3 linked regions of the Anolis sagrei genome follow. The protein of the gene in region 1 interacts with the protein of each later gene in a biochemical or structural test. Links are inferred from orthologs where the notes say so. Each region holds a gene or a part of one and is shown in the gene's direction. Other genes may lie near its edges.

Region 1 (7,789 bases):
CCTTCCAAGTTCTACAAAAGTTGAATTGCAATACCCCTCACCATTTGTTGCGTTAACTTTTGGAAAGTCACAGACTTCTCTAATCTCTATCTAGTCTAATTTTTTAATCAAAAAGTCCTGAATATCTTGTTAATAATGCCAAAGTTTTGCTAGAAACTTTTTTGTACTCTTGATGTGTCACCTGCAATACAGCATGATAATAATTAATGTTTCCGACCGCCTACTATTCTCACAAGAATTTGCTGAAATCATTTTATTGGGGTCTACACTTAGTTGTAAGTTTAGACTCACTGAAATCAATAACAGTTTCATTGACTACAGTGGCTGTACTGTAAGTATGACTAAATTTGACCTAGCTCATTAAACTATAATAAAATGTCATCTACAGTATTGTGTCACAGGGTTTCTTTCTTCAACATTGGCAAGGCACAATAGGCAGCCATCTACACATGCCGCAAATGGTGCTGCTGCTCAGAAGTGGGGTACCAGAGTCCACACAAACAGCCATTCAGCAAGTTGAGGAACTGACAAGTCTCTGCATCGTGCAGCCACAAGCTGGTGGCTGAATGGCATCCACATGTCCTAGTGGTGCTGGAACTGGTTCAATGCCACCAGACTGCCACTCTTACCTTACTCTTGTTGATCTGGTCTTAATAGCAATCACAGAACATAAAAATGGCAGTGTTCACCACTCCGCTCCCTCTTTTCCTCCCTCCATTCTCCAATCACATCATTGTTCCAGGTGCGGAGTACCAATTATCATTTTTGTGTCCAGAAGCCACTGCAAAGGCCATAATGGCAAGGGAAGGCAATTGCCATCTCCTGTCCCTGCGACTCCCCAGCCAGAGGAAAGTGGGATGGTAATGTGAACAGCCATAGACACATTCAAATAGGAAGTGCCCCAACTGTTTACACTGGCCCATAGAGCTTCCATGAAGCATCCTGCAACTTTTTGGAAGGCGGGACAAGGCCGCATTAAGGTGAATGGACTTTATGTGTCATGTGGAGACCACAAAGACCAGTCACTTCTGGTCCAACTCACATGCTTTGTGTAGAAAAATACAACAGTTAAAAAATGAATAACAGTGTGGTAAAACAGAATAATGCTGCTCCATGTAATCATGCTGGCCACATGACCTTGGAGGTTTCCATGGACAATGCCAGCTCTTCAGCTTAGAAACTGAGATGAGCACCAACCCCCAGAGTCAGACAAGACTGGACTTAATGTCAGGGGAAACATGTACCTTAAAACACTTAAAATACAGCAAATACATTAAATACATTAAATGGCCTTTAAAATTTATATTACCTTTCCTTAAAAGCTGTTGGCAAAGGAAGCTCTTGACCTGCTTGCAGAAGGCATTCTGGTTTTTCTTGGGAGGGAATTCCACAGCCTGGGAGCAGATACTGAAAAGGCCATCTCCTGTGTTGCGTGCCCATACCTTTCATTATTATGTGTTGTGTGCAAACATATAATAAACAAATTTCATTATAAGGGGCTAGTTAATTGCCAGTTTGCTAGTAAAATTGAATTACTGTGTTGTGAACTGATACATGATTTTAAAAATGTGACACCAACATGACATGCTTGGAAAGTTCTGCTTCAGGGTCACCATAAGTTAAATGACTTTTGTTTTCTAAGGGTCAATTGATAAACTTTGTTTCCCAAACAAAATGATTGTTGAAGGGTATTGAATATGTTTGCCCAGGAATTGGCAAACTTCGGCCCTCCCTCCAGGTGTTTTGGACTCAACTCCCACAATTCCAGACAGCTTACTGGCTGGGTTGCTATAAGTTTCCTGGCTGTATGGCCATGTTCCAAACGTCTCCTGACGTCTCACCCACATCTATAGCAGGCATTCTCAGAGGTTGTGAGGTCTGTTGGAACCTAGGAAAATGAGGTTTATACTGGGTGAGGCAGCTTAACTTCCTTTTTTAAAATGTGCGTCATTCAGTCGGTTGAAGATGTAGTGGTCTCGTTCGAGAGGTGGGAGTATAAAGTTTTATCCTGGCACAGTTCAGTCACCATCATGCGTTGGAACAGTGAGGAGCGTGCTTTTGCCATGGAGGCCTACTTTTCAAGCGGATTTGGAGTGGCCAGCCCGCTCTCCAGATTAGGCCCCTTGTGATTTTTTTCTATGAGGTTTTTGAAATCCTGTGTTTATGTGAACCGTCCAAGGACCCTAGAAGATTTGAAGACCAACATTCAGAAAGAAATTGCCAACATAACGACTGCTATGCTGGCAAGAGTCATACCAAACTTCAGAAATCGGTTTACTCAGTGTATGGAGAATGGGGGACGTCACCTACCTAATTTGATCTTCAAAACTATGCAAAACAAAACTTTAGGTATGCATTATTACCTACATTATTAAAAAAATAAATTCTGATTCATACAATGGGTTTCATTAAGTTTTGAAAAAAAGGAAGTAATGTTGCCTCACTCGGTATATCTGTGGAATGTCCAGGATGGGAGAAAGAACTCTTGTCTGTTTGATGCAGATGTGAATGTTGCAATTGGCCACCTTGATTAGCATTTAATGGCCTTGCAGCTTCAAAATCTGGCTGCTTCCTGTCTGGGGAAAATCCTTTGTTGGGAGGTGATTAGCTGGCCCTGATTGTTTATTGTCTGGAATTCCCCTGTTTTTGAGTGTTGCTCTTTATTTACTGTTTTGATTTTTTTAAAATACTGGTAGCCAGATTTGGTTCATTTTCATGGTTTCTTCCTTTCTGTTGAAATTGTCCACCAGCTGTTAGAAATTGTGGGAGTTGACCTCGAAAAGTTTGCCCATGCCTGTGTTAGCCGCTCTAAGTTGCTCAATGAGGGAGAGAGGGCGGGATATAATACAAAGTAAATAAACAAATAAATCTTTCTCTCTCTCTCTCTCTCTCTATATATATATATATTTATTTATTTTATTTATTTATTATTACACTTGTATACCGCTAATATCTCAGCCTAAGTCGGCGACTCATTGCGGTTTACAACATCTAAAAACAACAATATTCAAGTTAAAAGCATAAAAACACATATAAAATACAGAATTATTGGGCCACCAATAACAATCCAAATGCATCTCGTAACTGGAATCACAATCCAAATTCGTCGTCTGTAATTACCAATCCTTAATCGTCAAAATTCGTTCGTCGGATTATCCGAATGCTTGTTCAAACATCCATGTCTTCAGTTTTTTCCGAAACGCCATCAGCGAGGGGGCTGACCTTATCTCTATAGGGAGGGTGTTCCAAAGCCGAGGGGCCACCACAGAAAAGGCCCTGTCTCTCGTTCCCGCCAGCCGCACCTGTGAAGCCGGCGGGATAGAGAGCAGGGCCTCCCCAGAAGATCTTAGGGTCCTGGCGGGCTGATAGGCTGAGATACGTTCGGATAGATAAGTTGGGCCAGAACCGTTTAGGGCTTTAAAGGCCAACGCCAGCACTTTGAATTGAGCCCGGTAGCAGATCGGCAGCCAGTGGAGCTGGTACAGCAGAGGAGTTGTGTGCTCCCTGTGCCCCGCTCCTGTTAGTATCATGGCTGCCGCCCGTTGGACTAATTGGAGCTTCCGGACTGTCTTCAAAGGCAACCCCACGTAGAGAGCGTTGCAGTAATCAAGGCGGGATGTAACCAGAGCGTGGACTACCGTGGCCAAGTCAGACTTCCCAAGGTACGGTCGCAGTTGGCGCACAAGTTTTAACTGTGCGAATGCTCCCCTGGTCACCGCCGAAACCTGGGGTTCCAGGCTCAGCGATGAGTCCAGGATCACACCCAAACTGCGAACCTGCGTCTTCAGGGGGAGTGCGACCCCGTCCAACACAGGTTGTAGCCCTATACCCTGTTCGGCCTTGCGACTAACCAGGAGTACCTCTGTCTTGTCTGGATTCAATTTCAATTTGAATTATATAAATGTAATATTCGTTTGTGGGATTAACATAACTCAAAAACCACTGGACAAATTGACACCAGATTTGGACACAATACGCCTAACAACCCAATGTATGTCCTTCACTCAAAAAAATTGATTTTATCATTTGGGAGTTGTAGTTTCTGGGATTTATAGTTCACCTACAATCAAAGAGCATTCTGAACCCCACCAACGATGGAATTGAACCAAACTTGGCACACAGTTCTCCCATGATCAACAGAAAATACTGGAAGGGTTTGGTGGGCAGTGTCCTTTGGTTTTGGAGTTGTAGTTCACCTACATCCAGAGATCACTGTGGACTCAAACAATAATGGATCTGGACCAAACTCTACACGAATACTCAATATGCCCAAATGTGAACACTTGTGGAGTTTGGGGAAAATAGAATCTTGACATTCGGGAGTTGTAGTTGCTGGGATTTATAGTTCACCTACAATCAAAGAGCATTCTGAACTCGACCAAACCTCCCACACAGAACCTCCATGTGGGCCACAGCAACGCGTGGCAGGGGGCGGCTAGTACATTATAAATATGGGACAAAATTACCTTCAGGCGATGTGTGACAATGTACATGAGTGAAATCTGGATTTAGACTTGGGTCCCTTCTCCATGAAATATATATTCTTCTGTACTCAGGTATTCCAAAATCCGAGGGAATAAAAGGTAATTCAAAACCAAGCATTTCGGAGAAGAGGCACCCAGCCTGTACCAAGCGGTTCCCAGGGAAACAATAACAACTTCCAGGGAAGTGTGCCGCCGCGCTGATTTGACGTCATGCTTGACGGAGGGCCTTCTGGGGAGTGTAGTCTGACGTCCAGTCAAGCGCGTTGTCTGATTAGCTGGAGGCCGCGGGGGATGCCGGGAGTGGTAGTCGGGCCGGGAGCGCCATGGAGGATTCTGAGGCGGCGGGCGGCCGCTCCAAAGTGGCGCCCAGCGTGGACTTCGACCACAGCTGCTCGGACAGCGTTGAGTACCTGACGCTGAACTTCGGGCCCTTCGAGACGGTGCACCGCTGGCGCCGACTCCCGCCCTGCGACGAGTTTGTGGGGGCCCGGTAAGGAGGAGGAAGGAGGAAGGAGGGCGGCGGAGAGGGAGGCCTGGCCGAGGGGAAAGGCCTCACTCACAAGGCGGGCGAGCAGTCAAGGCCCTCTCTCTCCTCCTCCTTCTCCTTTCAGCCGCAGCAAACACACCGTGGTCGCCTATCGGGATGCCATCTACGTCTTCGGCGGAGATAACGGGTGAGGCCAGCCTCTGGTCCAGCTGCAGCTGTCATCGAGCCATGGCAGCTAAAGGGGATCAAACTGCATCAATACTACAGTGTAGATCAGGCATGGGCAAACTTCGGCCCCTCCTCCTGGTGTTTTGGACTTAACTCCCATAATTCCTAACAGCCTCAAGCCCTTAGGGGCTTGAGGCTGTTAGGAATTGTGGGAATTGAAGTCCAAAACACCAGGAGGAAGGGCCGAAGTTTGCCCATGCCTGTTTTGTTATTTCCATGTCAGGAGCGACTTGAGAAACTGCAAGTCGCTTCTGTTGTTTGAGAATTGGCCATCTGCAAGGATGTTGCCCAGGAGACACCCAGATGTTTTGATGTTTTATCATCCTTGTGGGAGGCTTCTCTCATGTCCCCGCATTTATTTATTTACCGTATTTGTATATCACCTTTCTCAGCCAGAGGTGACTCAAGGTGGTTCCTAGTCAGCACAATTTGATGCCAGAACAAATATCAAAATACAGTTAAAACCATTAATAAAACAATTCAGCCTTTAAAATGTAATATAAAAAGCAATATATCTGTCAAAACAAGATCCTCGGCATCTCCTTACTAAAATCGTTGTCCGGTTGAATTGTCAGTCATTCCATATATTTGTTTACGTCTAATTATGCTCCAGTAGAAAAAGCTTGCTTAAAGATCCAGGTCTTAATCATTTTGCGGAATGTTAGAAAGGAGGGAGTCAATCTTATATCCCAGGGGAGGGCGTTCCATAGCCAAGGGGCCACTACTGAGAAGGCTCTGTCTCACATCCCTGCCAAACTCATATGCGAGGAAGGTGGGATCGAGAGCAGGGCCTCCTCAGATGATCTTAAAGTCCTATGTGGCTCATAAGGAGAGGTAGTTTGGATAGGAAAGCTGGAACGCATGGAGAGCTGGAGCTGATAGAGAGAGCTCATCCACGCTCTCCCCGGATTTGAACCTGCAACCTGTCGGTCTTCAGTCCTGCCGGTACAACAGTTTAACCCACAGCGCCACTGGGGGCTCCACCTGTTGGTTGCTTCCCATGGCACCTCTGTAACAGCCCATAGAACAGGCTGATGGGAAATGTTTTCGATTTCTGGTTCTCTGCTATCCACAGTGTCAGGTATTCATAGAGTCGCCTTGCAGATAGTATACCCTTTTAATTTCTCCTCAAGAGACAGTCAGTAATGGGGCTAGCTTCCCACAGAGACCCCCCCATGACCAACAGAAAATACTTAAGGCCATCCAGTCCAACTCCCTTCACCAGGACAAGGAAACATAATCAAGGCCCCCCTGACATAAAGCTATCCAGCTATAGATATAGATAGATAGATATGATTCACACACACACACTTACAGTATTAAAGATTTGAAAGGGACCCCCAAAGAAGGACAATGTTATGTTGCATGTTCCAGAGTAGGCAAATCAGACAATCTTCACATCCACACTGACAAAGAAACAACAAGAAATATTGTTTACCCACAATCAGTTACATATATTAGAAACCAACACTTTCTCAATACTTTATTTTCCAGATCAGCAGACTGGGCGACAGCAAGGCATGGCAGGGGATGGCTAGTATTAAATATAAATGATGATAGATACTGTTGGCATAATATCAACACATAAATATTTAGCCTGTTATGATCAATACAATTGTTAATAGATATACATAGGTACAAGTGCTGCAATTAATATGAGGTAATGTTTTATAGTACCCGAAAATAACTTTTTCTATTTTTCTCTCTTATTCTAAAGAAAAACTATGTTGAATGACCTGTTGAGATTTGATGTGAAGGACTGTTCTTGGTGCAGGTACAACCATATTTCTAATATTTTAATATGTTTTATACATTTTTACTCATCTGAAATGAAGAGTTCTATATAAGTATCAAAGTATAAATTGTGGAAAGCCACATGATTTTCATTTCAGCTATGTACACATGCTCAGCCTAGATTGTTGTTTCTAATACCAGAATTAACTTGTAATTCTTTTGCATAAAAAGTTGTTCCTAATCATCCTTCTCATTAGTTAATTTACAACTTACCCATTCCCAAAAGCCTTGTGTAGCTGCCACTACATCGATAGGAATCAAATGCTTAGAAATCTAAAACCAACTGACCTACACTCGTAATAAAAACATCCACCAGTAGATTTCCATATATCTTGTGCCTACTACTGTAGTAGTTCAGTATCAGGTTAGTTGGATTTATAATCTCGAAACTGCCGGGGATTGCTGCTTATACTCATTAATGACCAGCATACCCCCAAAACCTACCTTTGCAGCCTGGCAACTCACCAAACAAAACGTTTTCAAGGCACTGGAAAATTATGTCTGCTGCACTCTCTTGTTTGTAGGACAGATTGAGAAGGGCAGTTGTTTCAGGAAAGCTGCTTTTCTCAATGGTTAATCCAGCTGCTGTTCTTTATTTTTCACACATCTGGCAGAATGCTCCAGATGTTATTGTCCAGCAACCAGTCTCCAGTGTTTCAAAACTACTTTGGTTGGGGTGCGGTCATGCAGGTTTTGTGAGAGTGGCACTGTTAGATATAGTTATGATAGTGAAGCTTCGTTGGCCTCCTGCATTGATGACACAGTCTCCCAACCAAAGTGTCTGCAGCAGTGTACC
Region 2 (7,475 bases), on another chromosome or scaffold:
AGAAACGTTTAGGGCTTTATAAGCTAAAGCCAGCACTTTGAATTGTGCCTGGTAGCAAACTGGCAGCCAGTGGAGCTGGCGCAGCAGAGGAGTTGTATGCTCCCCGAGCGCTGCTCCTGTTAGCAATCTGGCTGCCGTTCATTGGACCATTTCAAGCTTCTGGGCAGTCTTCAAAGGCAACCCCACATAGAGTGCGTTGCAGCAGTCTATACGGGATGTAACCAGAGCGTGGACTACCGAGGCCAAGTCAGACTTCCTAAACATTAATGATGCTACTTGAGCAAACTTCCATTTCAATTTGCAGCATCAAAGTAATGACCTTTGAGATCTACACTTATCCAAAGAATGTTTTGTAGGATTTTTCTCCTCCTACGACATGGTTGAGGAATGTGACCCTTCAAATGGTGTTGGGTTGCAATCAAGAGCTAAGATCCATTACTATTTTTGGGATCATAGCTCACACTAAAATCCCTCAATTTTAGATCTAGTCAAAACAAAGTACCCCCCCCCCCCAAAAAAAACCTCAGCATTCCCATAATCTCTTATTGTGGGGCTAATGGATGCTGTAGTATAACATCTGGAAGGCTAACCAATTCTCCATTCCAATCCTATTGTGTAATCGAGCCATGGCTTACTTAGAGGCAACTGGCCAAGTAAGTGGTGTAAATGCAATTTACCATGGGCCTGTTCTTGCGGTTTCACACAGATATATTTAGCCTGCCAAAACAACAACCAACACCCTGAGTGTGTTTTAAGTATAGCTAGTTACCCAGTGACCTAGAAAGCAAATTATACAGGAATGGAAGATGACCAGCGCTGATAGGACTATTGAAAGGGACTGAGATGTCGGAGTCTCCCTTTTGGGTGGGGATGGTGCCGTTTTGGCTACCTAACCATCAGCACTCCTGTCTGAACACCAGAAATAGATAGATAATTAGAAGGGATAAGGAGAAATCTAGCCAGGTATGCCTCAGCGAATGAAGTAGATGTCTTTAGGAGAATATTTAGCATCAGAAGCAGAAAGCACATGGAAGAAAGTGAGGTAGGTTCATAAACCACAAAACCAATATGTTTCAGAAGCATTTTATTATAAACTATTTTATTTATTTATTTATTTATTTACAGCTTTTATATTCCACCCTTCTCACCCCGCAGGGGACTCAGGGCGGATTACAGTGTACACATATATGGCAAATATTCAATGCCAATTTTGACATACAAACATTTACAGACATACACAGATGCTATTTAACTTTTTCTGGCCACCAGGGGAGCTGTTGCTTTCATTGTCCATCTGCTACGCTGATGAAGCACTTCCGCATTCCCCGCATGCTTCCCTGCTGGAATGCTTTGCTGGAGTCTTCTTTATGGCCTCATAAATCAGTTAATTTAGCCTCCCTACACTTTAAGGTGGTACCTAATTTTCCTACTTGACAGATGCAACTGTCTTTCGGGTTGCAAAGGTCGACAACAGGGTACACACAATTGGTTGGAAACCCACTCCAACCCGGGCTGGCTTCGAACTCATGACCTTTTGGTCAGAGTGATCTTAACGCAGCTGACACTCAGCCAGCTGCGCGCGCCACAATCCCGGTGCAGTGTGTACATTAGAAAGGAAGCAAACAATTCATTAAACAAGCAAACAACTTTCTGAATCTTGTAAAGATCACTTCCAAAAATGCATCCAGCGATGACTTTTGTGTTCACCAGCCTCCGCTTTTCTTATGATATCCAATTTGATAGCCAAACTGGTATAGTCGGCCCTCCTGCGGATTTGACTCTTGTGGAAAATTTCTAAGTTGTCTGTGGTCAACTTCTGCTACTCTAGGGCCATATTTGTCCAGAGGAGGGTGACTAAAATGATCAAGGGTCTGGAGAACAAGCCCTATGAGGAGCGGCTTAAAGAGCTGGACATGTTTAGCCTGCAGAAGAGAAGGCTGAGAGGAGACATAATGAGCGCCATGTATAAATATGTGAGGGGATGTCATAGGGAGTAGGGAGCAAGCTTGTTTTCTGCTGAGACTAGGATGTGGAACAATGGCTTCAAATTGCAGGAAAGGAGATTCCAACTGAACATTAGGAAGAACTTCCTGACTGTGAGAGCTGTTCAGCAGTGGAACTCTCTGCCCCACTGCTGAACAGCTCTCACAGTCAGGAAGTTCTTCCTAATGTTCAGTTGGAATCTCCTTTCCTGCAATTTGAAGCCATTGTTCCACATTCTAGTCTCAGCAGAAAACAAGCTTGCTCCCTACTCCCTAGTGTGGTGGTCACTCCTTCTTTGGAGACTTTTAAACAGAGGCTGAATGGCCATCTGTTGGGGGTGCTTTGAAGGCGATTTTCCTTCTTGCCAGGGGATTGGACTGAATGGCCCACAAGGTCTCTTCCAAATCTATGATTCTATTATCAAGGTATATCTACACCTTAATTAAGGTTAAGGTTTCCCCTCGACATTAAGTGTAGTCATGTCTGACGCTGGGAGGTGGGGCACATCTCCATTCCTAAGCCGAAGAGCCGGCATTGTCCATAGACACCTCCTAGGTCATGTAATTGGCATGACTGCATGGAGCGCCATTACCTTTCCTATTGCTCTACTCACATTTGCATGTTTTCGAACTGCTAGGTTGGCAGAAGCTGGGGCTAACGAGGAGCTCACCCACCCCATGGATTCAAACTGCCAACCTTCTGGTCAACAAGTTCAGCAACTCAGCAGTTTAATCCGCTGCGTCACTGTGGCCCCATCTACTTTTTATTGTCAAGTAAATTTAGTTTTGCCGGGATTGAGATTAGATACTTTTTCTCAACTATAACTCACAAAAATAAACATTCACTGGACCAATCTATATAAATAAAAATGTAATGTTCGTTTGTGGGATTAACATAACTCAAAAACCACTGGGCGAATTGACACCAAATTTGGACACAATACAGGCTGTATGGCCATGGTCTAGAGGCATTCTTTCCTGACGTTTTGCCTGCATCTATGGCAAGCATCCTCAGAGGTAGTGCTTGCCATAGATGCAGGCGAAACGTCAGGAGACAATGCCTCTAGACCATGGCCATATAGCCCGAAAAAACCTACAACAACCCAGTGATTCCGGCCATGAAAGCCTTTGACAACTCATAAAAACACTGAAAAACACAGTGGAAGAGACTTAAAAAGCCAAAAAACAAAAAATACATTACAACACATGCGCAAAACCACATATGTACACAAACACACATATATACAGAAATATATACAGAAATATATATACACATAAAGGCACACAAAACACATATTTTTTAAAAATACATTACAATGCACGCGCAAAACCACATATGTACACACATACACAAATATATACACACATATACACACACAAAACACATATACACAGACTGGGCCACAGCAACGCGTGCCAGGGGACAGCTAGTAAATAAATAAAAATAATGGCACAATTGATCTAGCAAACAAACAAGAATAAACATTTAATGCCAATTCATTTGCATGCGGACGCAAAGAAAGAGTATCCCAGATTTACATAAACAATCTTTGCAACATAGGGCACAGCTGAAGTGCAGAATTAATGCTGTTTGACACCAATTTAACCGGCACGGCTCAATAAGATAAAATCGTAAGATATGTTGTTTAGTTGTTTAGCTCAAAACCTTCAACTCCATCTCCCATCATTCCATATCATTGAGCCATGTACAGAGATACTCGCTGGAACACCCCAGCAAGCAAGAGTCCAAAAGTGGCAGGCTCAAACCCAGAACCTCAACCAATGGCTGATACCAAATGAGATACTCCCTCCTGGGCACACAGAACACTGGGTGACTTAGAAGGAGATGAACAGACTGCGCTCTGGCACCACGAGATGCAGAGCCAACCTCAAGAAATGGGGCCACAAAGTGGAATCCATGACATGTGAGCGTGGAGAAGAGCAAACCACTGACCACCTGCTGCAATGCAACCTACATGCATAATGGAGGACCTCCTTGCGGCAACACCAGAGGCACTCCAAGTGGCCAGATACTGGTCAAAGGACATTTAATCAACTACCAAGCTTGCAAACTTTGTGTTTTGTCTGTTTGTTTGTTTTGTTAAAAATGTAATACAACTGTCTGGTTCCTCCTGACACGATAAATAAATCAATATTGAGCCATGTCCGTCGTAGCGGTATCAAACTGCATTCGTTCTACGGCGAGGAAGAACCCTTGGCGCACTCCTTCCTCTGGTATTTGTCGCCGGTCTCCCTTCCAGGCCCCAACCATAGCCGGCACTGCTTAGCATCCATAATCAAATGGGATTTGGGTGCCTCCCAAAGATAGAAGCTCTGCCACCCTCCCTTCTCTGTCTCTCTCTCTCTGTCTATTCTTCAGCAGGCAAAAAAAAAAAAAAAAAAAAAAAAGGGGGGGGGGGGACCCAGCTCGCTTGCCTGTTATTTTGGAAGCTGCCAGAGAGCAGAGAAGGAGCATTGTATGTACGTCCTAGAAGCAACTAAAGGACCTCGGGCAGGAGACAGAGAGAGGGGTAAGGAGGCCACGGAGGGGAGGGGGGATTTGGGGGGTGGAAAGGGCTTATTGGGGGGCACTGGAGCCACCTACCCCACGGCAGACCCCAAATCTTTCCCTAAAGGATCCAAATCCCCTCTGACTGCAGTCTGTACATGATGTACATGATGCTCCAAGTGGGCAATTATTCCAAATGCATTCCTTGGGGATTATTATTATTAGAGTAAACTCTGTTAAGAGGCACCCATGGGGATGGGTAGGTGCCAGGTCAATGCAGTTTCTGGTTGCTTGAGAGTTACTATGAGAAATAGGCCTTATACAATACCATAAACTCCACTACGATACCTTATACAATACCATAAACTCTGTATTGACTTGAATTCCATACTGAAATGCAGGCATCCAAACCAAACTGCAATCCAACACAGCTTTGCAAATGCAGTATTATTATTTCTTTGATTTTGTTTGCCGGTTGCTTGAGAGTTCTGGTTAACTGAGAGTCTACTGTACTACTACTGTGTCCTGATTCATTGTGGTTTTATGTAACAGGGGTTTTCACCAGCCATTGGTTTGTTTGCATCATGATTGATTATTGATTCTTTGGTAATTGATTAGGAGAAGCAGCGTTGTCTCCAAGGACTGGGTTTTGGAAGGATAATAATAATGCTCACCTGCAGTGGTTTGCAGGTGTTTTAAGACCTGATTCCAAATGTTTGACAAGGGATGGACTCAGGTTTGGATTGAAACAAAATATATAAAAATCCACCCTTACCTGACATACTTCTTTCTGGCAGGCTGAGCATCCTTTCCCTAGTTGCCAGTAATGATAGTAATAATAATGCTAATAATATTAAGGCATTTGCACCATAATAATAATAATAATAATAATAATAATAATAATAATAATAATGGCATTTGCACCATCCTAACAACAAGGCATTGGCATAATAATAATAATAATAATAATAATAATAATAATAGATCTATTAAGGCATTTGCACCATAACAATAGTAATAATAATAATAATAATCCAGCGTATAGATCTCATTTGCTGTGACATACTGTGCTTTAGTGTCAGTATAATAATAATAATAATAATAATAATAATAATATAAAGGCATTTGCACCATCCTAAAAACAAGGCATTGGCATAATAATAATAATAATAATAATAATAATAGATCTATTAAGGCATTTGCGCCATCCTAACAAGGCATTTGCACCATAATAATAATAATAATAATAATAATAATCCAGCGTATAGATCTTGTTTGTTGTGACATACTGTGCTTTAGTGTCAGTAAAATAATAATAATAATAATAATAATAATAATAATAATAATGTATTTGCACTATCCTAATGTGGAGCCCCTAATTGCCCTATGGGTTAAATCCTTGTGCCAGCAGGACTGAAGAGGGTTCGAATCCGGGGAGAGTGCGGATGAGCTCCCTCTGTCAGCTCCAGCTCCCCATGCAAGGACATGTTTTACCATCCCGCAAGGATGGTAAAATATCAAAACATCTGGGTGTCCCCTGGGTAATGTCCTTGCAGATGAGCAATTCTCTCACACCAGAAGCAACTTGCAGTTTTTCAAGTTGCACCAAGAAACCCCATCCTAATAATAATAATAATAATAATAAGGCATTTGCATCATCCTAATAATAATAATAATAATAAATCTATTAAGACATTTGCACCATCCTAATAATAAATAACAATAATAATAAGGCATGTGCACCATAATAACATTAATAATAATAATAATAATAATAATAATAAATCTATTAAGGCATTTCCACCATCTTAATAATAATAATAATAATAATAATATTAATAATAATAAAACAATAATAATAATAATAATAATAAAGCATTTGCACCAAAATAATAACATTAATAATAATAATGATAAATCTATTAAGGCATTTGCACCATCCCAATAATAATAATAAGAATACTAAGACATTTGCATCTTAATAATAATAATAATAATAATAATAATAAGAAATCTATTAAGGCATTTGCACCATCCTAATAATAACAATAATAATGATTTTGTGATACGAAATCCAGCATATAGATCTCGTTTGCTGTGACATACTGTGCTTTTGTGTGAATAATAATAATAGTAAGGCATTTGCACCATAACAACAACTACAACAAATCTATTAAGGCATTTGCACCATCCTAATAGAATAATAATAATAATAATCTATTAAGGCATTTGCACCATCTTAATAAGAATAAAAATAAGATATTTCACAATAATAATAATAATAATAAGGCATTTGCACAATAATAATAATAATAATACTATAATACTATTGAGGCATTTGCACCATAATAATAATAATAATAATAAGGCATTTGCACAATAATACTATAATAATAATAAGGCATTTGCATAATAATAATAATACTATAATACTATTGAGGCATTTGCACAATAATAATAATAATAATAAGGCATTTGCATCATCCTTTGCTCTCTTCCCAGCTGAAAATTACTTTCCAAAATCTCCTCCCTCTAAAACCGGACTAACCTGGATTCCACGCGTGATTTCATCTCCCACTCCTTTAAATCTGATTTAAAAAACAACATTCCGATTGGACTCCCCTTTCTTCCAATGTGATCTTCAGTATTTATTTATTTTCTTTTTTTCAGCTTGGCCCACGCGGGTCGCGCCTCGCGTGGGCATTTTACTCGCGAGTAACCTCTTCTTTCCACCGATTCAATGGGGATTTCATTATTTTTTTAAGAGGGGGGAGAAAAAAAAGGAAAGCTGGGGGTTTGTTGTTGTTGTTGTGATCCACGGTCCCGCGTGGGGCCCACCCTGGAAGAAATCCCAGCAAGCAAGGTAGAGAGGCGTGTTAAAAGGGAAGGAGAAACATAACAATAAACAATAAACAAAACAACAAACAATAAATAATTATATTAAAATAAGATTTTTTAAAAGTGCAGTAAAATGTTGTATTAGT
Region 3 (7,575 bases), on another chromosome or scaffold:
AAAAGGCACAAAAGAAGATGCAATTGATTTCCAAAGAGATAAAATAAAACTCCAAATATTAGAGTATGAGCAAACAGAATACTCTTTGAGTTGAGAGGAATACCTGAATCTATACAGGAACTTGAAATGGCAATAACATAAGTTGTGGTTGGAATCCTTGGTAGACCAGAGCAAGTGTTCGAGGCTCAAATTGACAGCATCTTTGGAGTCCAATCCCAACATGCAATGAGGAATAAGCTGTGATTGTGTTGTTTTCAAGAAAGAAAACATGAGATCAAGTTTTGCAAGTTAACACCAATGATCCAATTGAAATAAGAAATACCAGGATTGCAGTATTAAGAAAATTTCCACCGCAGATAATAAAGAAATAATAAATTGCTTTTTTCTGACAGATAAACTTAAGAAGGCCAAGGAGAAAGAGATGTTGGAAACAGCAACCTTACAATCCTTCACTAACTGTTTGTTAATATATATTTGTTAACCTGCATTCTATGTGTATGTTGATTTTCCAGTTTGGCTTTCCTCTTTGTTGTGGGAGGGGCTTCAGACCTGGACTCAATTTTGTAGTTTGCTTTTGGACTTCAATGAGGTAGATGTTTACTTTTGGACTTCAATGAGATATGTTTGGTTTCAGACTTCACTGGAGGTGGATGTGTGTGCTCAGGGATTTGAGTGAGTACAGATATGCCTAAAGACATTTTAAATACTATGTGCCTGTATACTGAATATATACAAGTTTGTTAGTAAACAAGTTATATTTTTTTTTCAAAGAAGACTACTTTGTTTTCTCTCTTGAGTGCATGTTTTAAGGGAGTGTATATCTTTTGGGCAACTGCAAATTCTATTTCAAACAAACATCCTCTGCTAACCAGATAGATTTTTGTAGTGGCCTGTCTTTATCCATAACCGTTTAAAGACATGGTTCCTAAGTTTAACACTTGAGCTACCCATGGCGCTATCACATGAATGCTTTATGAATATCAGTTGTCTTAAGGTTTGACTTCTAACAAGGTCACGCCATTCCTGACTTGTGGTTTTCAAGTGGTCTCTAAGTTCATAGAGATTCAAATTTTCCCAAACGGAGGTGACATCATTTTTATCTTTTCAATAAGGTTATCGTGCACTGAAATTTCCAATAGATTGTGGGCTTTCCAATAAGAAAACATCCAAGAAGGCAAGAAGAGAAGGCAACCTTAATAAGGAAGATGTTCAACTACAGTAGCAGGCCACTCCACGTGATGAATAATTGGATGATCATCTACTATTTTAAGATCAAGGACTTTAAATATATTTTCTTTAAATATCAATGGACTAAATTCACCAAACAAGAGGAGGTGAGCTTTTCATTATTTGTGATTACCGGAAACATGAAGTAATTCCCTCTCAAGATTTATGGATTACAAAAATGATGGATCAGGTAGAAATTGACAAATTGATCAAGTTTATACAATTAGAAATGGACAGACTGACTAGGCATATAAAACTGCCAGATCCTTCTAAATCTGAAGAAGAATGGCAGCCTTTTATTTACTATTTAAAAGAAGAAAAGAAAATGAAAATATCGGGTTTTCTATAGCACCAAGGGAAAATTAATAGTGCAAAGGAAGAACAAGAAAATAAAAAAATAAGAGAATTCAGTGACAAGAATAACAGGATCCTCAATGGTATCCAAGAGATCCTGCAAAGTTAATCTACCAGAGATATGAAGTTTTATGACAACAATAATAGGTTTTTTCATTATAAAGAGGACAGCAGAGACAGGGTAGAAAGTGCTAGTTAGGACTTTTCATTTTCCATTTCTCAACTTTTCTATCTCCTTTGTTTCAAAACAACATATGCACACTTTTTATTCTAATTTTAGATTAGAAAAGTTATTTTATTATTATTTCTCTATATTTTCACATCATAAAACCTTTTAGTATTAGACATGGCAATGGAAAAACACAAAAAGATAACATGTTCAAAATGGAATGTTGGTGAACAGCAAAAGAGATTTAAAGATGGGTTTAAAGAAAACTTTAAAAAATGCGGAATAAACATGGAGAACAGGGAAGGCCCTGGGGCTCTAACATTGTAACTTACCAGCAGTGCTGTAGATTTTGAAGAGGCACAAATAGAGGGTGAATCCCTTGTTGGCTCCCCCTTCCATCTGGAAATGTGTGTTCTCGTTTTGAAAGTTCCTAGGGATCCAGAATAGGAGTCACTGCAAAGACTACCCTTGAAAGACAACCCTACTTTGCCACTTATGATTGTCCATGATGATGATGATTTGCATAATGTTGAAGGCTTTTATAGCCAGAATCACTGGGTTGCTGTGAGTTTTCTGGGCTGTATGGCCATGTTCAGAAACATTCTCTCCTGACATTTTGCCCACATCTATGGTAGGCATCCTCAGAGGTTGTGAGGTATATTGGTATATTAGTTTCCAACAAATCTCACAACCTCTGAGGATGTCTGCCATAGATGTAGACAAAACATCGGGAGAGAATGCTTCTGGAATGTGGCCATACAGCCTGGAAAACTCACAGCAACACAACATAATGAATTATGGGTTGTTGTAAGTTTTTCGGGCTGTATGGACATGTTCCAGAAGCATTATCTCCTGACATTTTGCCTGCATCTATGGCAGGCATCCTCAGAGGTTTTGAGGTCTGTGGGAAACTAGGAAAATGGGGTTTATATGAAACTGCTAGGCCATCAAATGCTAATCAGGGTGGCCAATGGAAACATTCACACCTACCTCCAACAGACAAGAGTTCTTTCTCCCACCCTGGACATTCCACAGATATATAAACCCTGTTTTCCTAGTTTCCAACAGACAACCCAGTGATTCCAGCCATGAAAGCCTTCGACAATATAATGAATTATCTTAGAAATGTGATGTAAGTCTAAAGACGCAATTCATTGGTTTTATGCACAGCTCTCACACTCATAGGCCCAAAGGTAGTGTCATGCACTATGGATCCCAATTGTGTGCCTGCAACAAAGTTTTTGTTCATTGTACCACCCAAACTGTGGCCAGTTTGGGGCGTTCCCAATTGTCATGTATCATGTCCTGCAGTTCATGGTGGTTGGTGGTAGCAGACCCAACAGTTGGTGATGGAAGAGTTAATGTAAGTCTTAGTTCTAAAGGGCTGAGTAATTTGTAACTAACAGTTTACAGGTAAACGCAATTAAGAGTGGCAGGATGCAAAGGATAGGTTGCAGTTGGGTGTTACTGGTTTTAAGGAGCTGACCTCGGGGCTGATCTTTGGGAGAAAAGTATTTGTTTTATGTTGGTAGTATATGCTGCTGGTTTTTCCTAAGTTTTCTGGATTTTTGGTGTCCTGACCTGTCTCCTGAACTCTTGGAACCCTGGAACCTTGAATTTTTGGATTGGCTTTTGACTATTGTATAGACTTTTGACTTCTCTCACTAAACTCTCGGCATTTGACCACTGGACTGGACCCTTTGACTACGGTGCAGTGTTTACTATCTGTTTTGGATAAAAGTATGATAGCTGGGACCGAGTGCAGGTAGCACTTTGCTGATTCTGCAACGCTGCTTCGCCAATGCTGATAGCACAATGCGGTGAGCCCAACTCAGGTCAGAAGGGGAGGGAGGGAAAACAGAAAGGGGGGGCAACAAACAGGGAAGCATTGCACTTAAGGCAAGTAAAGCAATATTTGAGCGGGAATGGTAAAGCAACTACAAACTTGCAGACTCTGTCCTGCCTGCGTATCTCACTCCACCTGGTCTCACTCCACCCAGTCTCTTGACCACACACGTGTTCCTCATTCACAACCACCATTGCGCAATCAGCGTAGCACTATCTGCACTCGGTCCCAGCTATCATACTTTTACCCAGTTTTGTTTTATATTATGTGGCTTCCTGCTATCTTTATTTTTTATATTTTGGACTATTAAAACAGCCAGAAACGAAGTGCTGCTTTAATTAAACTGTTAGAAACAAGCTGGGTGTTTGTTTGATTCACCTCTGCCTGAATACTGGCAGAGCCCTGGCATGGTGGCACCAATAAAGGATGCTCGGCTGTTGTGTGGAAGGGCGTTTCCGTCCTCCATCGGGGCGGTGGGAGTAGGGGGTCTCGTGGGGCGAGAACCCGGCCCCTCCTTCCTTTGTGTGGCGCCCCCTCCCCTCCTCATTACTCCCCTCCCCATTCCTCCCCCCGGCCCCTCGTTTCGCGGCTGTAGCCGAACCAAACCCAGAAGAAGGGCCTGATGGCGGCCCCAAGCCCGAAGGCAGCCCGAGACCTTCAGAAGGAGGCGGGCGCGACCCTAAATAGAGAAGGAAGGAAATGGGAGTGTGCTGCCTCGGCGGGGAATTCATACCGACGAGGGAGGCCCTGCCCAGCGCTGAAAGGCAGAGGAGGTGGTTTGATTTCCCTGGAGGAAGCAGCACGCTCTAAAAATACACCAGGGGCGACTCCCCCACCCAAAGCAGGCGGGCGGGCGGGCGAGCTTCCTCCTCTCCTCCTCCCTCCCTCCCTCCCTCCTTCAGCCCCACAGAGAGAGAGAGACCTCGGCGCTGGCTTTCTCCTTCTCCCTCCCGCGCTTGGCCCCGCCCCTCTGGGCGTGATTGACAGCCTCCCCAGCCCACCGCGAGGCCGGACCCGCAGTCGGGGGCGCGAGGGTTGAGCCCTATCAGCTGCTCCGGGAGAGGCTGGAGTGACGAGCGCCCGGGGCTGCGTTGGGCGTGGGTCCCTTCTCCTTCTTCTTCTTCTCCTTCCTCCTCCTGGTCGTCGTGCCCCGGCCTTGTCGCACCCACGCCGGAGCCGTGGCGGCCCGGGGCTCGGGGCCAATGCGGGGAGGGCGACGCAAAGAGGGGGCTCCGCCGCCGACGCCTCCGTGGGAAGCCCGCCCCTGCCTGGAGGGACCCACGGAGAACTGAAGGCTTGCCAAAAGAGGCGCCTGGGGTCTCTAGCCCTGCCCCGCCCTTCCCCACGCGCGAACTTTGCTCCCTTTTGAGAGCCCTCCCGGAAAAGTGGGAGGGAAAGAGCCTCGTGGGAAAAGACGGCGGCGAGTAGAAGGTGAGGGGCACCTTTCTCCTTTCAGTTTGTGGGGGATCTTTGAAGGGGTGGAGAGAGAGCGAAAGAGACTGGGGATAGCGTGGGAGAAAACCCCCTTTCCCTCTTCCCCCTTCCACGCGCGCCTTTCGGCTTGTAAAGTCATTCATGAGGGCGAGTAGGCAAAGGCGGCCGACTCTTCCTCCTTCCTTCCTTCCTTCCTTTCCTTCCCTCTCTCCCTTGGCTGGGATTGTGCCTTGCTGGCCCTCCGCCCCCCACCCCTTTCCCCCTTCCAAAGGCAAAGGCTCCTTCGGTCTCCTCTCCTCTCTTCCCGGGCGGGGCTGCCGCAGCGCCTCCCCAGTGCGGCTGTGTGGCTCTTTTGGAGGGAAAGAAAGAGGGGCGCGCTTTTGGAGACGGAGCCCTCGAGGGGAGCGCGCGCTCCTCCCCCCCTTCCCTCTCTCCCCCTCCCTCCGTGGGGGCGCGGGGTGGGTCTGGTCGTCGGGGGGGGGGGGTTGAAGGGAGTCGCCGCTGGTCTCCGGGCGCCGAGGTGCTCAGGCTCCTCCCCTTTGTTGTCAGTCCTTCGGTTGCAAAAGGAATCCTAGACTTAGCAGAGACCCCAAGGGCCATCCAGTCCAACCCTCTGCCATGCAGAAACACACTGTTAAATCTGCCTAGCCCTAATCTTTTGGGTCATTGTAGGTTTTTGGGGCTATATGGCCATGTTCTAGAAGCATTCTCTCCTGACGTTTCACCTACATCTATGGCAAGCATCCTCACAACCTCTGAGGATGCTTGCCATAGATGCAGGTGAAACGTCAGGAGAGAATGCTTCTAGAACATGGCCATATAGCCCGAAAAATCTACAACAATCCAGTGATTCCAGCCATGAAAGCCTAATCTTTTGATTGGCTCTCCAGCACTTTATTCCCAGCCCTACAGTGTTGCATTTGCACCAGCCCTTGTCGTGCCCTATTAGTCTCAAATCTGCACAGGCCCACCTTTTCCCCCCCAACTACTGGTTATTTGATGTCTGGTCTATGTTTTATGATGTTTTACATTTCATTGGTTTTACTGTTTTAACATATTTTACTCTTCTATGTTTTTGATTGCGTTAGTTGAGCCCTCAGTGACGCAATGGGTTAAAGCCATGTGCTGGCAGGACTGTTGACTGACAGCTCAGCGGTTCAGTATCGGAGAGTGGATTGAGCTCCTTTTGTCAGCTCTAGCTCCCCATGCGGGGACATGAGAGAAGCCTCCCACAAGGATGGTAAAACATCCAAACATCTCGGCATCCCCTGGGCAACATCCTTGCACAAGGCCAATTCTCTCACACCAGAAGTGATTTGCAGTTTCTCAAGTCGCCCCTGACATGAAAAAAATAGCTGTTTAAATATATTTTACTGTTATATGTGTTTAATAGTGTTATTCCTAACCTTTGTTTATATTGGGCTTGGTCCCCATGTAAGTGGTCCCTTCGGGGAGATGGAGGTAGGATATAAGAATAAAGATATTATATTATAAAGTGATCAAGACACCCCGACAGATTTCGATCCAGCCTCGGCTTAAAGCTCTCAAGAGAAGGAGACTCCACCAGCTTGCAAGGCAGCAGCACATTCCACTCTCTAACCGCTCTTCCTGTCAGGAAGTTCTTCCTTGTGTTTAGGTGGAATCTCTCTGTATTCCTGCGGTTTGAACCCATTGCTCCATTATGTCCCAGACTCCAGAGCTGCAGAAAGAGAGTCTTCAGGTATTTACACTAGGCTGCAGTCCCCTGGTGGTGCAGCGGGTTAAACTGCTGAGCTGCTGAACTTGCTGACTGAAAGCTCTGTGGTTCGAATCCAGCGAGCGGGGTGAGATCCCGCTGTTAGCCCCAGCTTCTGTCAACCTAGTAGTTCGAAAACTGCAAATGCAAGTAGATCAATAGGTACTGCTCCGGCTGGAAAGTAACAGTGCTCCATGCAGTCATGCCAACCACAAGACCTTGGAGGTGTCTACGGACAAAGCTTCGGCTTACAAATGGAGATGAGCACCAACCCCCAGAGTTGGACATGACTAGACTTCATGTCAGGGGAAACGGTTACCTTTTACTGTCCCCTGTCTGCCTTCTTTTCTCTAAGCTAAACAGACCAGGCTCCATCAGCCTTCCTCATTTTGGTCATCCTTTTCTGGACACCTTCTTTTAAGGAGATCCTAACAGTGGCTGCACATGCTGAATAGATCCTGTGCAGAAACCTATCCTAGAGTGGGGAGGGGTTGTGTGAGAGAGTGAGGCATGTGTTCAGATGATGTGACCAGGGGGCAGTGGGTGCTTGTTTTGCGTGTCAGCCTTTTGCATGTTCCTTAAGGGCTGCCTTTCCTGTCTGCAGAAGGAATTAGGCTCCCAGGAGAGGGTTTTCCAACAGCGTTTGCTGTGCCTCTGAGCCTTGGGGGCAGGTAAGTGAGGAGGCAAAACAATCTGCTTTTTTTGCCTCCCTCTCTCTCTCCTCTTCAGTTTTACTGACTTTACCTTCTGTAAACACTTCCTGTCAGCCCAGAAAACATGGGGTGGGGGAAAGAGCAAGAGGAGAGGAGA

The links.
Region 2: the proteins of LZTR1 (region 1) and KRAS form a complex in vitro, tested with the Homo sapiens proteins (2 studies listed by BioGRID, with this or other methods). The link is inferred for Anolis sagrei from reciprocal best matches to the Homo sapiens genes LZTR1 and KRAS.
Region 3: of the proteins of LZTR1 (region 1) and HRAS, one has a biochemical effect on the other in vitro, tested with the Homo sapiens proteins (3 studies listed by BioGRID, with this or other methods). The link is inferred for Anolis sagrei from reciprocal best matches to the Homo sapiens genes LZTR1 and HRAS.

The regions. Positions count from the first base shown.
Region 1 is NC_090024.1:206,568,563-206,576,351, forward strand, and holds the start of LZTR1 (leucine-zipper-like transcriptional regulator 1), read left to right. Parts: upstream 1-4,770; 5' UTR 4,771-4,807; coding exon 4,808-4,974; intron 4,975-5,095; coding exon 5,096-5,158; intron 5,159-6,916; coding exon 6,917-6,973; intron 6,974-7,789. UniProt on the Homo sapiens protein: Substrate-specific adapter of a BCR (BTB-CUL3-RBX1) E3 ubiquitin-protein ligase complex that mediates ubiquitination of Ras (K-Ras/KRAS, N-Ras/NRAS and H-Ras/HRAS).
Region 2 is NC_090025.1:186,777,217-186,784,691, reverse strand, and holds the start of KRAS (GTPase KRas), read left to right. Parts: upstream 1-4,403; 5' UTR 4,404-4,461; coding exon 4,462-4,513; intron 4,514-7,475. UniProt on the Homo sapiens protein: Ras proteins bind GDP/GTP and possess intrinsic GTPase activity. Plays an important role in the regulation of cell proliferation.
Region 3 is NC_090021.1:240,068,666-240,076,240, reverse strand, and holds the start of HRAS (GTPase HRas), read left to right. Parts: upstream 1-4,545; 5' UTR 4,546-5,027; intron 5,028-7,415; exon of another isoform or gene 7,416-7,436; intron 7,437-7,575. UniProt on the Homo sapiens protein: Involved in the activation of Ras protein signal transduction. Ras proteins bind GDP/GTP and possess intrinsic GTPase activity.